2 linked regions of the Tamandua tetradactyla genome follow. The protein of the gene in region 1 purifies or fractionates together with the protein of each later gene. This does not show direct contact. Links are inferred from orthologs where the notes say so. Each region holds a gene or a part of one and is shown on either strand. Other genes may lie near its edges.

The links.
Region 2: the proteins of PTPN14 (region 1) and PDLIM7 purify together in Homo sapiens (affinity purification with mass spectrometry; 3 studies listed by BioGRID and IntAct, counting the BioPlex papers as one, with this or other methods). This does not show direct contact. The link is inferred for Tamandua tetradactyla from reciprocal best matches to the Homo sapiens genes PTPN14 and PDLIM7.

What each region holds. Positions count from the first base shown.
Region 1 is NC_135330.1:74,016,534-74,024,155, forward strand, and holds the start of PTPN14 (tyrosine-protein phosphatase non-receptor type 14), read right to left. Parts: upstream 3,077-7,622; 5' UTR 2,523-3,076; intron 1-2,522. UniProt on the Homo sapiens protein: Protein tyrosine phosphatase which may play a role in the regulation of lymphangiogenesis, cell-cell adhesion, cell-matrix adhesion, cell migration, cell growth and also regulates TGF-beta gene expression, thereby modulating epithelial-mesenchymal transition.
Region 2 is NC_135346.1:59,258,181-59,265,733, reverse strand, and holds the start of PDLIM7 (PDZ and LIM domain protein 7), read left to right. Parts: upstream 1-4,360; 5' UTR 4,361-4,445; intron 4,446-5,435; 5' UTR 5,436-5,446; coding exon 5,447-5,542; intron 5,543-7,553. UniProt on the Homo sapiens protein: May function as a scaffold on which the coordinated assembly of proteins can occur. May play a role as an adapter that, via its PDZ domain, localizes LIM-binding proteins to actin filaments of both skeletal muscle and nonmuscle tissues.

The sequences.
Region 1 (7,622 bases):
ACTATACCAAAGCTAAATGTCAGTAACAGGATGATATAAGGGATACGGGAATTTATTTTTCCAGAAGAAACGAGAAAGTTCTCATATTGGTGGTGGATGCATAATTATGTGGTTATACCCAAAACCAGTGACTGTACACTAAGGATGGATTATATCATGTGTAAATAAAACCATTTAAATTTTAAAAAATCCTCCCCAAAACCGATTTTTCTGTAAATTCTTTATGATTCTTCTACACTAAAATAACTGTTCTTTCCACTGCAGCTGTCAATGCCACACACAACACATGAACTAGAATAAATTAGTCTGCTTCAAACACAGGGTAACTGTCTTTAAGCCAATGATGGAAGCTAGGCAGACAGATACCTAGTACTAGCAGGGAAGGGCTTCTCTTGTGGTCATTTCTCTCATACGCATCTTTTCCTTGCAGAAAAACTTCTATAAAGGGGCTGTTCTTGGGAGGAGATGTTGGTGGAGAGGCTTGAATATGTACTGGAAATTGTGGGGCCGGTGTGTTATTTCCACTCTGATCTACTGACCCGAGGTCACAGAAACCTGGACCTCCGCCACCTCAGCCAGGATTTAGATTCTATGAATACTACCACCACACCACTGCAGCCAGCCAAGGGCACCCTTGAAACACAAACCCCACGCAACGGTACTGCACTAAAAAATTTTCTAGACAGGATTCACTGACTCCTGGGACATTAAGCTGCAAGCACCTGCATGAACATATTTAGTTTATACCAAGTTTCAGAGGAAAGAAAATTGGCCCTTTGTAACTGTGCTAAAGCGATAATAACATTAATAATAACGACATCCCTATTATTAGAGAATACTATTACAAACACCATGACACCGACATGAATCAACTCTGCACATCACAGACACCGACTCAGATGCGACAAAACGACATCACACCATTCTGCTCCCGCTCATTTTGATGGCACAATCTTGAACCCCATCGCCAAATGGTAGGGAAACTTTGATATAAGGTTTTGTAATGTTGCACTGTTATCATCACCCACTGGTCTTTAAAAGGAAATCAGTACCATTCTAATGAATGGGCCAATTAGTGCCAAACAAAATGCAGGTCACATAACTGCTGCTTGTTCTGGAAACAGCCTCAGACATGGAGAAGTGTCTGAACAGGGAGACTGTCTCTCCTGTGGGAGCTACCTATTTCCCACGAGTGGATGGCATGCCAGTTTAATTCCTGACACGCATAAAAACTAAATGCTCACACAGCAACACTGCACCTACTGGGCCATAAATCCCCCTCAGGCCCCCAAATAGCTAGGTCTGACGTTTTTGTCCCTGTGGTACTCATTGCTGAGATGACTGGGTATTCATTTTCCACAAGCTGTTTCCTCTACCTCGAATGCATACCCCCAATCACTCCACCAGGTGAGCTCCACCTCCAACCTCAAAGCCCAGTGCACAGTTCATCCCCTCCAACAAGCCTTTCCTCCCCTCTGGCAGAAATTGGCATTGCACTGCAGTGGTAAAGTGGGTTCCCTCCACCAGGCTGTTGACTCCTAGACTATCTTGTTGTAGCAACTTTGTATCCCCTGTTCCTAGCACAGAGTAGAAACTGAATACATCGTTTGTTGAATGAATGAGTGAACCAATCCACTACAGGAAATTAGCACACTGGTTGAAACCCTGTAACAGTACCTGCAGCCTGCAGTCTAGACATTCCCCCACCTTCACAAATAACCGGTAAGAATCTGTCCCCTCAACAGCCTGGTGCCGAAATCCCTACAATTTTAAGTAAGGATGGAGGTGGGGTGACAAGAACGAAAGAGGTGAAAGGGAAAGGGAGGCTGGAACTGGACTCCCTCCAGAAGAAAAGGTGGAAAACCCACTTACAAGTACTCAAAAACCAGATTTCGGGATCACCAAGGGGGAGGTAGGAGGGGGGGAGATAGCTAATTCTCAGAACCTGAGAAGTGTGAGGTGGAGACCTGCTCTGAAATTATGTGGTCACAGGTTTTCCCGGGAAGCCAGTCCGACCCACCATCCAGGAGGGGCCAAGACGCCTAGAGTTCGTTGGCACACATGGGGCCTAGTAAAAGGGCATGAAAATACCTCTTCTCTCCCTCCCAAGATGCTGTCGCAGGGGTGGGGACCGGGAGCTGTGTCCCTCTCCCCTCGAGCGGCTGCAACGTCATGCGTCTTTCATCCTCCTGCCTCAACGGCCTGGGCATCTGACTGCCCTTTCCAGGCCCTCTCCCGCTCCCCAAAAGCAGAAGGGGATGCGGGAGGAGAGGGAGAAGGTGTGGGTTTAACTACTAACTATCCAGACGGAGCTCACCTTCGAGCTCAACTCCCCCAGACAAGCTGTGCGCCTCACTGCGGGCAGCTCCCACCTCGCGCCTCCTCTGCCCTGCCAAGGCGTTTCCGGCCGCCCATCGCAAGTTGGCGGTGCCAGTATTTGCCCAGGACTCTGCAAGGCGCCCCGGGCACGGAGGCGGCTTCCAACCTCGGGCCCGGACTGCGCGGGCCCCCACGGCGCTTACCTGCTTACATGGCCCCCGTCGGTGCCGCTGGGGCCCGCGCGGAAACGCTCTCCTCCGCGGTGGCGGCGGAGCCCCAATTCCCCAAGGAACTGATCCCAGTGGCTGGCGGAGGAGGGGCGGAGGGCAGGAGCCGGAGGAGGCGAAAGGGGAGGGAGGTTTCCGCTCCGTTCCGGGCGCGGGAGTCCGCGAAAAGGGAGCAAAGGAGGAGAAAAATAAGAAAAACCTAAGGACCGGTCTGTCCCGCCGGAGAGGGGCCGAGGCGAGAAGGCCGGGCAGGATGGGTGAGGTGGGAGGGGAAGGACCGCCAGCGGCCACTCTGCGTCTGCGGCTCCCTCGGGCACTGAGCGAGGAGAGGAGGGGACGGAGGGAGGAGAAACGCAGCAACCTGCCCCCGCGACTGCGGCCGCTGCGCTCCAGGGAGAAAAAGTTGGGACGAACTTTTAGGGGCCGGGAGACCTGAGCGGCAGGAAATGCAAACAGCCGGGAGAGGAGGGAGGAAGGGGCCGTGCGAGTGGGAGGGGACCGAGCCGGCGCCCGCGGCCCGACTCCCCCACCCCCGAGCCCGGCTCGGCGGCGCAGGGGCCGGGAGGCGGGAGGCGGGAGGGAGCGCGGAGGGAGCGCGAGGCGCGCGCGGCCGGGGGCGGAGAGGAATGCGGCGCGGAGGGCGCGCGCGAGCGAGTCTCTGTGCGTGTGCGCGCGTGTGAGTGTGTGTGAGTGTGTGGGAGCGCTGAAACGTGGAGCCCGAGCGCCCGAGCTGGAGGCGCGCCGTCCTCGGGGACGTCACAGCGCTGGAATCCAAGGAATGCCGGGCTGCGGGAGCTCCTTCTGCAGGCCCCGGGGAAGTCGCGCACTTTTAATGTGGTAGTTTTTGAAAATGTTTTAAAAGTTGCGGGCTGAGGGAGGAGGACGAGGTGAAACTTCCTGGAGTAAGAAATGTGGGAGTGGGGAAGAAAAACTGACCGCACCTTCCCCGCACCCCAACACTGCGCCGCTCCTGGCGCGGTGGGGGGTGGGGTGGGGGTGGAGCGGAAAGGAAGGAAAAAAATCCCACTCGGACCTCCGAAGACAAGGGCTGGGCCGCGGCCGCAACTCGCCCAACCCCGACCTACAGCAAGGACTGCCCACCTTACTTGGGGGAGCCCTCCAAGCAGGACACCCCCTTGCAGCCATCGCACGGGGGAACACAGGCCAGGAGAAAGAAAGGTGGCCTCACCGCATAAGCCATCTCGGAGCTCTCTCTCCTAGGGTCCCTGAACCTTCCGGTACCGGGCCAGGTGTCTTAGCCACCCCTCCCCCCTGCCTTTCCCCCCAGGAATCCTAAAAACAACCTATATGAGAGTTGGAATATGTCGTTTTCCTGGTCCGTGCCATGCCACAGAATCGCCCCACCCTGCCTAGGAAGGCTCTGGGAGGGAACTTCCTCAGTACTTTCGGAGGTGGAGTTTATGAGCGGCGGTGGTGTGATGGAAAAAGCTCTCAGCCAGGCGGGGGAACCCGGGTCTGGGGCCCTGCCCTGCTGGTGTCGAGGAGATTGGCAGAGTATCCCAGCCCTTGTGATCCTTGATTTCAATAGCTGTACAATTAAAAGGCTTGACTACGTTTTTTTCCGTATTCCCTTCCCATTGTTAAAAACATGTCCTAGGGGGTCTGTTATCTGGCCCGGATTCAAACCCAAATTCATCCTTTCTCAGGCTGAAAAGGAACCTTTAAGACCTTGTCGGAGAAGATATTGCCCTAAATTGCTTTAATACCCTGAGAGTGTACAAAATCCTGGGTCTTTGGGGGAGGAAAACTGAAAACCGAAGACCAAGGCCTTAACTGTAGCCACCAAATGAACATCTGCAGTGATTGAGGTCTACTGAGCATTTGCCAATCTCTAGAAATACAAAGACTTACAGAGGACCCAGAGAGCAACACAAATACCAAAGGGGAGGAAGGAAGAGATTCTGAAACATTCAAGGAAGTAGATAGCCTTGATAAGGATTTGCTGAATTTCTAAAGGAAACATTAGGGAGCAAATTAAGCGCACCACATGCTCCTGCATTATTATCCCCATTTCCTAAATGAGGAAAGTGAGGCTTGAAGAAATTAGCATGCTCACCAAAGGTCACACCAAAGCTAGTAAAATATGATAATTAACCCTAGTCTCCTCCACCCAAAATACAAGCTCTTCATTTTTTGGAAACTTGACCAGAACAGGATTCAGGATACAGAAATGCCTGTAGGCACTCAGTGTGGACCGTCAACTCCCGCTCTTTCTTGAGAGATGGGAGGTGGCATTTGTGTGTTGTACCAAGCGCAGCACACTGAGGCTATTGTGATGTAGAAGACAGAGCAAAGGACTTGCAATTGGATATCAGAATTCTGGTTTTGCCTCTGACCAGCTGTGTGACCCTGAGCAAGCCACTTCACCTCTGGGCTCAAGTTTAGTGGAGTGTGACATGGAGGATGGGGCTGGGTTGGATGAGTTCATCTCCGAGGACTTTCCAGGTCTAAACTTGCAGGAAAGTACACTCCTCCAGGCAGATGGCATGCCTTTGAAGGAAGCGAAGCAATCAAGCCGAGATACAGTGGGGATGTGGTGGAATCAAAATGGATGTTTAGAATCCAGTAAATAGCAATGAGTGTTCATTGGTAAATTAAGCTAAGATTTAGGGCTAACCCTGTGAACTAGATTTTTAAATTTGAATAATGTTACATGTGAATGTAAAAAAAAAAAAAAAACTTCATTGTTACTTTAAAAGCCTGTAATGTGTATCTGAGCAGCCACATTTCTTTTTCTCTAGAGTAGAACAATAAAAGCAGTACACATAAGATTGAAAAAAATAATAATAAAACCCCAACTTTAAATGAAAAAGACCTTTCTTTCTCTGGTTAAATATACAAAAGCTAGTCACAAGGTTCGATTCAAAAAAGGCAATTCATTTCCTAAGTCTCTGGCATCCACGTTTGAATCTGCTTTAATATGTATCAGGATGAACAGGAGTTTGGTTTTTGGAATATATCACTACACATCACTTTAGAGCCTTGCCATTTTAAGAACGGTCGACATTAAATTTCCCCCCAAAAGTATTTTAACTTGTTCTAAGCCTGCTTCAAGCTGCTAACACAGGATGCCAGGAGGAATCCCACAGGCTTCCAGTATGTTTCGCATATTAATGTAGTCATCATATCCCTTAAAGACACTGAAATCCTCAAAAGCAAAACAAAATAAGGTTCCCAATCAAGGCAAACCGGAAAGGAAACATGCTTTGTTAGGAAAACTTTACTCTTCCCTGGGGGCCTTCTAAAATGTTTAAAGTCATAGGTATGTGTGCATGTATTTATCCCTAGCCTACTACCAATTCCAAAAGGGATTTTTGGCAATACATAGTAATGGAGGAAAGGAGAAATGAGAGGAACTGGGGAGCTTTTTCAAAAAGCACATCCCCTCTATATCTTCTGCTCCCTATTTCTGATTCCCTGGGTTGGTGGCAGAGATTAGAGTTGGTATGTGTGTGTATATATATAACATTTTTATTTTTCTTTTCTTTTCTTTTTTTTTTTTTTGCATGCTGTGCATTTGGGGGTTCCATTTCGTTCTTTTCCGTGTGAATCCCTTTATTGCAGCACCATATGTTCAATTTTTTTTTTTTTTATGAGTGCAATGGGCCAGGAATTTAACCTGGGTCTCCTGAACAATAAGTGAAAATTCTACCACTGAACTACTCGTGCACACCCTATAACATTTTTAAATAGTATTTTATCGAGTATAACTCACACTCAATAAAAAAGAACAAATCTTAAGTGTACATAGAGCTCGATGACTTTTTCATATGTTTACATCTGCATGACGTCCCCAACCAGTCAAGATATAGAAAATGTCCATCACCTGAGAAATTTACCTTGTGCCCCCTTTCAGTTAGTCTGACCCTTTCAGGCTGACTTCTACCACCACAGACTAGTTTTACTAGTTCTTGAACTTTATATAAATGGAACAGTATACTTCTATGTTTGGCTTCTTTTGTTCAATATAATGTTTACAAGATTCATTCTCACTATTGAATGTATCAGCAGTTTTACTCATTTTTATTGTAGAATGGATTTCATTCCATGAATATATCACATTTTTTAATTCCTTCTCTTGATATATTGGGCAGGTGTATTTTGCAAAAACTTCCCAAGTAGTTCTATGATGCTTTCCTACCCCCTCTAATTCAGAAACACTCTCTTAGTGAAAATATAATAAGCCTTGATTAATGCCTTCAAAAACTTAAGTAACAGAGAAGGAAAGGAAAGGGAAAAACGTAATTTAGAACAACCACATTTTAAGAGTGCTTTAATGAAGTGAACGGGTGGTTCAGTGGTAGAATGCTTGCCTTCCATGCAGGAGACCCGGGTTTGATTCCTGTACCGTGCGCCTAAAAAAAAAAGAAAAAAAGTGCTTTAATGACTGTTTACGTACAGAACTTCTTATTAACGAAAACAAGTTAAGAAATTCACTGGAATATGAATTTTTGTTATCTGGAGATTTTTGGAAAGTTATTTGATTCTACTGAGCTGTCAAGCAGAGCCACACATGCTGCAGCATACAACTCTAGGAGCTAAATTAGACTACAATGAGAATGGCATCCCCTGGAGTTGTGCAATACTGAGGTCCCCATTTCAAGAAGGCTTCATGGTATCTGACACAGATGACTGAGGCTTCTTTCCTCTGGACCTTTCAGCTCCCCAGAGGGAAGGAGCCGTCTAAAGTCCAGCCCTCTATTCCCTAGGCTGATAGGCCAGGAAGTCACACTATTCTCAAACATTGGTCAAGTGGGGTGATAGAAGACTTTTGTGAAGGCATAGAGGAGCCTAAGCTCTCCACTTCCTTTAGGAGACCTGGCACACCTACGTATGCCAAAATACTTTCCTATTTCCCTCTCTTTCCTAACATCTCAAGCCCCTCATTCCTGATGCACTCCCCATCCCTAGCCACCAAGCCTTCTGACTGCCATGTTACTTTTCCATTTCATTCTCTTTCCTGCATACATTTCTCAGGAATAGGCTTCCTGACTTCCAAAGAGACTACTGTACCTGTCAGCGTAGGCCACAAATGAATTATTCCTTTGTTACCTC
Region 2 (7,553 bases), on another chromosome or scaffold:
GGGAAATGGCAGCCAATAGAAGCAAATACCCTCATCCTCCAATTCCCACCGCAACCACAGTGTACCAGCATCGGCATTCACCTTCTCCCTCCTGACCCCAAAGTGGAAGCATCTGTCCCCAACCCCACCAAGGTAAGTTCCCCCAGCCTGTGCTCTGATCCCAGGCCCTCTTGCTTCCTCAAGGCTCTCTGCTAGACCCACTAATTCTCCCAGCGGTGTCACCACCATCACCATTTCCAGCCACACGCAGATGAGCTCTGTAATTTCACATCTTTAAGGGAAAACCTCTCTTGACCTTGCATTCCCCCTTCAGCCACCTCCCCCTTTCACTGTTCCTCTTCCATGTGAAACTCCTCAAAAGAGTTGTTGATTACTTTCATTTCCACTTTCTCACCTCCTATTTCCTACCCCCCTACACACCTCCAGTCACCCCGTAGTCCCCAGGACCCCATTCCATGGCGCTTACCAGGTCACCAACCTCCTTGCTCCCCCCAAACAAAAATGACCTGGATGCCCTTTGTGACACCTGGATGCCACTGACTTCTCAGCTGCATTTGTCATCCCTTCTCGAGACACCATCTTCACTTGGTTTTCCTTCTACGCAGTCACTCCTTCCCAGCCTCTTTTTCCAAATGTTTTTATGGAGGTAACATATATAAAGTGCCACTTTAGCCACTGTCATGATTGCACTTCAGTGGCATTAATTACGTTCATAATGCTGTAAAGCCAACACCATCATCTAGTCCCAAAATGTGTCATCACCCAAAGCAGAAATTATATAACCATTAAGCAATGACTCCCCATTCCCCGCCCCCTAAAAGCTCTAATCTTTCTGTCTTTATGAATTTGCCTAGTGTAGATATTTCCTATTGGTTGAATCAGACAGCATTTGCCTTTAGTTTCTTTCACTCAGCATGTTTTCAAGGTTTATCTATATTATAACATGTATCAAAAGTTCATTCCTTTTTGCAACTGAGTCCATTGAATGGAGACACCCCATGTGGCTTATCCATTCATCGGTCAAGGGACACCTTTTGGCAATTGTAAACAATGCTGCCCAGAATGCTGGTGTACGAGTATCTGCTGGAGTCCCCACTTTCACTTCTTTGGGGTCTACACGGAGGACTGGGTCATGCAGTAATTCTCAGTTTAACTTTCTGAGGAACCCTTCCTGGCCTCTTTTGCCGTCTCCCGCTCTGTCAGACCTCTATTTGGGGCTCTGGCCTCAGAAACGACCACAGGGTGGCTCAACCCTGGCAACATGTGGACTCGTCTGGGAGCCTTTAAAAAACATCCCCATGTCTGGGTCCACATCAAGGGGTTCAGATTCCAACAGTCAGGGTGGGGCCTGGGCATCTGGGGTCTTTTGTATGAAATTCCCCCAGGGGGTTTTAGTGTGCCTCCAAGGTGGAGATTTCACTGCCCTACGTGATCCCATCTGGTCCCAGGTAAGACCATCTAAACGCTGACGACTCCCAAAGGTGCACCATGGGTCCAGGCTTCTCTCCTGTGCTCCAGATCTAAGAATCCAATTGCACACTTGACATCTCCGTATTTAATGTGGGAGGCTGGGGGAAGGGAGGTTCCTTTCAGTGCAGACTCAGGGTCTGGGGGGATCACAGATCCTGCCATCTGAGCAGGAAACTGAAAGATGATGGAGCTATGGGGAGGCAGATTTTGCAGATTTGCTTATGGAAGCACCTTCTGACATGCTAAGTCTTTCCAGGATGGCTCAGGCTGCCGTAGAGCGCTTGTCACCAGAGATGTGCAAGTTGAGGCCAGGAGGCTCCTGGCCAAGGTGGCTGCTGCTGAGACTCCTCATTCCCACCACAACAAGCCCAAGCCCTGCCCTTGCCAGCTCTGCTAATCCCAGCACACACTGGAGGCTACCGGGAGAGTTAGGGTCACGGCCAGAACTGGAGCCCAGGACTCTGGATCCCTGGCCTGGCACGCTTTCCTTCATTACAAATATCAGCCTCTCTGCCTCCCGCAATTTCCAATCAGACAATGGATGGGAAAGTCCTTGCAAGCCTCCAGGGAACTAGGGGTCTGGCCCAGGAGCTGCAGGAGCCCCAGCCACCAGGGGGCACTGTGTTCTAGCCAGGGTCCTGCTGCTACCCACGGGCTGCACGTGCAGAGAGCCCCACGGTGGTGGGGGATGGGGGGTGGACTTGGGGGCTCTAGCCAGGCCCTGAGCCTGACACTGACCCAAGGACCAGACCCCAGTTCTTTCTGCTGCAGGACAGCCAGGACACCCAGGCTGCCACTTCTTCCTTTGCTCATTTGCCATTTTGCTTTCTCAATCCTTTCTTCCTTCCTTCCTCTGTTCAATTCACTTTGCCATGTGCAGGCACCAGGGAAACGGTGTGGAGAAGATAGTCATGGGACTATCTAATGGGAACAAGAGGCATTCGAGAAAGAAAAACACAAAATATAACATCAGATAGAGGTAAGTGCCACGGAGAAAAAATAAAGTAGGGTAAGGGACCAATGTATCGTGAGATGGTAGGGGTTGGCTATTTTAGATAGGGTAATCAATTAGGCCTCGTGGAGGAGGTGTCATCTGAGCAGGAAACTGAACAAAGTGAGAGAGTCTGTTGTTTAGCTATCTGTGAGAAGGTATTTCAAGCAGAGGGAGCAGCAGGTGCTAAGGCCCTGAGGCAGGAATGTGCCTGGCACATTGGGGGAACCGCGAAGGGGGCCAACGTGGCGGAAGGAGGGTGGCGGCAGGTGGACTCAGTTCATTAGGGGCATGTAGGTCACAAACCTGTGGATTTTAAGTGCAACACCAGCTCCCTGGAATAGGAAAGTCACGAGGTAACAAGGTGTGATTTCTGTTTAAAAATATCACTCTGCGACCTGCAGAAGAGTTTGGAGGGGGGCAAGAGTGGAAGCAAGGAGACCCGTGAGGAGGCAGTTACAGATGTCAGGCATAAGATGACAATGGCTCAGACAAGAGGGGCAGCAGAGGCTGGAAGCGACCAGAGGTGGGACCTATTTTGAAGGTGGAATTTGCAGACTCTGAGGGATGAAAGAGAGAAGAGAAAGGAAGCGCGACTTCACAGTTTTTACTGAACCAATTGGACGAATGATGGTGCCATTTACTTAGAAAAGGGAGGAAGAGATCAGAGAGGTGGGAAAATCGTATTGGGACACGATGGTCTGAGGTATCTAGTGGGCATTCAAGAACAGTTGTCCAACAGGCACTGGATTTTGGAGCCTGGAGAGATCAGGGCTGGGCATAAAACGTGGATATCTTTGGCCTGCAGGTGGTATTAAAAGCCATGGGACAGGATGGGGTCTGAGAGAGAGAGAGAGAGAGAGAGAGAGAGAGAGAGAGAGAGTAAAGAGAGGGAGAGAGAGAGTAAAGAGAGAAGAGGGCTCTGATAGCTAAGTTGGGAGGCATATGAGGTGGGATCCGGGGAAGAGGAGCAGATAGTCAGGAAGCCAGGGAAGAGTGTTTCCCGGAAGAGGGACCATCAGAGGAGGCTGGCCCGGCGCCGAAAAACTGCCACTGATTGGATAACCCGGAGGTCACTGCAGACCTTGAGAAGAGGATGTCAACCTCCCCTGCCGCCTGGCGGAGCCGCCGGGGTGGCAGCGCCGGGGTGGGCGCTGGGGATAGTCGGGGGCGGCTCTCAGGACACCCCAACTGGAGGCGCTGCCTGCTCAAAGGGGAGGGTAGCAGGACCCAGCCCACCTCCCCCGTGTGCGGTAGGCGCTGGGGGAGCAGCCTCTGCTCGGGGGAGGGCAGGGGAGGGCAGGCTCAGGGGGCGCCAAGGACCCCCTCCATTTCCTCCCTTTTTTTTTTTTTTTTTTTGCAGAACCTAGCTTCCAGCTCGCCCGTCCCTCCTCGTCTTGCCCCACTAAGTCCTTCCGATTTAGAAATTCTGGAGCTGCCGCTGGCTACGCCTTTCGCCAAGCAATATCTATCCGCACGGCGAGACCCTGGAAAGCGGGTAAGCGTCCACCATTTTTCCGAGGAGGAAACAAAAGTTCAGAGAGGAGCAATGTTGCTCAGGTCTGTGTGGTGTCAAAGCCCGCTTTCTTTTCACTACGCCAGCGGGACGCGCAAAGGGTCGGGCGAGACGCTGCCCAGGCAGGGTCTGCCCCACGCGGTTCCTGCAGCCCTGGCCCCGCCCATGAACCCTTTTGTACCCGCCCATCGCCCCACCCTAGATCCCTCCCCACGGAAGAGACCAGCTGGGCAGCGCCCTCCAGCTCCAAGATAGGCGGGGCTTCGTGGTTGGGCGGGGCTTTCCACGGCCCGAGTCGTCGGTCGCGGATGGGCGTGGTCTGTGCGTGGGCGTGGCCTCTGGCTCCGCCCCCGATCGCGGGCTCAAAGCGGACGGCGGCCGCGGGGGCGGGGCCAGAACCCGGGCCGCCGTTCCCAACGCGGCTCCCGGGAGCCCGCGGCCCAGCAGCGCCCCGGCGGGGCCGAGCAGGTACGGGTGACCGCGCGGGGCGTCTCGGGGCTGTCCGAACGGGGGATCAGGGGTCTGCTGAGCTACCACAGGGGGCATTAGGGGGTCGTGGCCGGCGCTGCACTTTCTCCCACGGGCCGAGGCCCCTTCCCCCGCCCCCGCCTTCCTGTGGCGGAGCCGATTGGCGCCTGCGCCGCTTCCTGCGGCCGGGACCCGGCCAAAGCGAGGGGCCCCGGCGGGGGACCAGAGGGAAACTGAGTCACGTCGGAGTGGAAGCAGGCCTGTGTGTGGGCCCCGCTGGGTTCCAGGATGGATCATCCCCTTCCTGGCCACGCTTTGGGGGGCCCGGCCTCCACCAATCTTAGCTGGGGCCGCGCCTCACCTCCCCACCCCCAGCGCCCAGGGGTCCCGCCCTGGCCGCCAGCAGCCTCGGCCCGTCCCGGAATGGCTAGGACCCGTTCCAGCCGCCAACCTCCCCCTCCCCCTCCCTCCCCCTGCCTTCTCCTCCCCCTCGCGTCCCGAGCCCCCGTGTGCTCCCTCCACTGTCTCTCCGCACAGTGTCAGCTTACACGCCTTATATAGTCCGAGCAGGCTCCAGCCGCGGCCTGCCTGCTGGGACCTGGGGGCGGGGGAGAGAAGGCCGGCCCCTGACTCAGGCCGCCCCAGGCTCCCACTGCCCCAGGCTCCCGGCTGGCTTGGTGGGGGCAGACCTTGCCAACCTAGCCTGGACACCTCCCTCTGGCTGCAAAGAACCTCTAGCCTGGATGCGTGTTCCCCACCACCTTCCCAATCCCTGGGGATGGGGGGCTGCTCCTAGTTCTCCAGGGTGAGGTCTGTCAACCAGCTGCTGGCGGTTCACACCCAGGCCTGACAAGGTGCCTGCTTACCCGATCCCCGTGTGTGCAGGGCATGGCCCATGCTTCCCTGGCACATGTCCAAGGCTCATGTCCACAGCTTGGCCCTTCTCCAGCCCACCATGCCCACCACTCACCTTCTCTTCTCTCCTCCCAGGAGCAGACACCATGGATTCCTTCAAGGTGGTGCTGGAGGGGCCAGCTCCCTGGGGCTTCCGGCTGCAGGGGGGCAAGGATTTCAATGTGCCCCTCTCCATCTCCCGGGTGAGCCAAGGCTGAGCCCTAGGTTGGGAAGAGGGGTCTCTCAGGGGCCTTTGGGTGCTGGGGTCTTTAGTGTAATGGGAGAATTCCAAGCAGAAGGCAGCCAGGGACCAATAAGTCAGAGAGCATCCAGGTGGAGAGCTGTGGTGGACCTCTGCCCTGCCCAGATGGAACAAGGCCACAGGGATTCCCCATCCAGGTGGATACAGGGAGAGAAACCCCCACACCTTCCTGAGCACTGCATTGCACCACATACCATTCCGTGAAGCTCCAGTGGCCTACCTCTGAGGCCAGGCAGGTGCCCATTCTGCAGGACGGAAACCTGAGGTTGCAAGAGGAAGGGTCTAAGCCCCTTAAGTGAGTAGTGCTTGGAGCCAAGCCCCAAGCTAGACACTGTAAGATTTCACTTCCGCTTCACAGCTGCCTAGGGAATAGGAATTGCCATCCTATTTTTTCCAGTCCAGGGATCCAAGAGAAATGGAGCAGTTTAGTGATTCCATGCCACTGGGACTAGGCCTGCAGTTTTGGTGGGTGGGAGAAGGGGGTCTCTTTCCAGCCTCTTTGAGGCCTTCCGTCCCCACCCACTGGGCCCATTCAGGATGCGGTGGCCTTTGACCTCTTGCAAGGGTGGGCAGCTAGGGCAATCTCCAGGGCTCTGACTTTAGCTCCAGAGAGCCCTGGTAGGGGTGGAGCTGGGAGCTGGCCCCTCCCTGTGGCAGGGGGATTGCCTTATAAGCCCAAGAATGCAACCCCACACTGGGATAGCCAACGGGTAGCAGGAGTCTCCAGAGCCCAAAAAGGGCTGGTCTGGACCTGGACCCCAGAATGCAGTCAGTGGATCCCTCTGGCTAAGGGGTGGTCCAGGTCAGATCCCCTGCTGGTCAGCAGTCCCCCACCCCAGCTGTGGGATCAGTTTGTGGGGCACAGAACAAACTGCCTGCCCAGAGTAGGTGAGGCCAGCCCTTAGGCTGGTGACTCGGCTCTCACTGTGGCCTGGGGGTTAGAAGAGGGTGGGGACTTCCTGCCCCGACATCCGCCAGCTCCGAAAGGCCACCCAAGCGCCCAGTGGGCAGGCAGCCGTTGGCAGGAAATCCAGGGCAAGCACAGCCTTGAGGGGGCCAGGGGGTGGTCCAGGTACTACCCAGCTTGAGAGAGGCCCAAGGTAGAGTCTGTCTTAGGAGATGAGCTTGGTGGCCCGGGCAGGCTAGGGTCTAATCCTCTTCCCAGGGACGCTTCCACAGGGTCCCCCTGGAACCTGCCCCGCTGTGTAGCCAAGGGCACTGTTCCCCTTACCACACATGCGCTTTCAAACACATATTCTCAAGCCTTGCCAACCCTGAAAAGCTACCCTGCATCCCTGTTCCCTGGGAAAGTGCTGGCCAGTGTGGCGGGGAGGAGCCCTGGACCCTGGCTGGTCTCTGAGCCCCAGGGTCTTCATTTGTCGGGGTGGGCCGCATAGTAACCTCGGATGGACTTTCAGATGTGGCCTCTTGGGGGCACTCTGGGCTCAGGCTCCCTCCTCAGCTGCCCCTGCCCATTGGGTGGAGCCACCAGCTGAGCCCAGCCCTGGAGTTGGACCCACCCCAGGGGGGTGGGCTTTTTTTTCTAAGCTGGGCCAGCCCCCTCCCCCTTCCCTGACCCCAGAATGGAGGGAGGGGCTAGGGCTGGCTGTGGGCCCAGGCTGGGAGATGAGGTAATGTCTGGGACTGGGGGGTTGGGCTGCTCAGTGGAGCCCTCAGGCTGACTCACCTCACCCCTTGCACTGTTCAGCCCCCTGGCTTTTCCCCTCCTTGGTCGCTCCAGCCTTAACCCTGTCCCTGGCCTGAGGTCCTCCCTGCTTCTCTCCACCAGAACCACCACCTCCCCCAGAGCCCTCACTGGCTTCTCTCCACCACTCTGACCACTCCCCTGCCCTCCTCACGCCCCATCCAGAAGCCAACCCCTTCTGTCCACCCCAAGACCCCGAGTCCTATACCTCCCAGGAGCTGCCCCATGTGGGTAGGGAGTGGCCCGA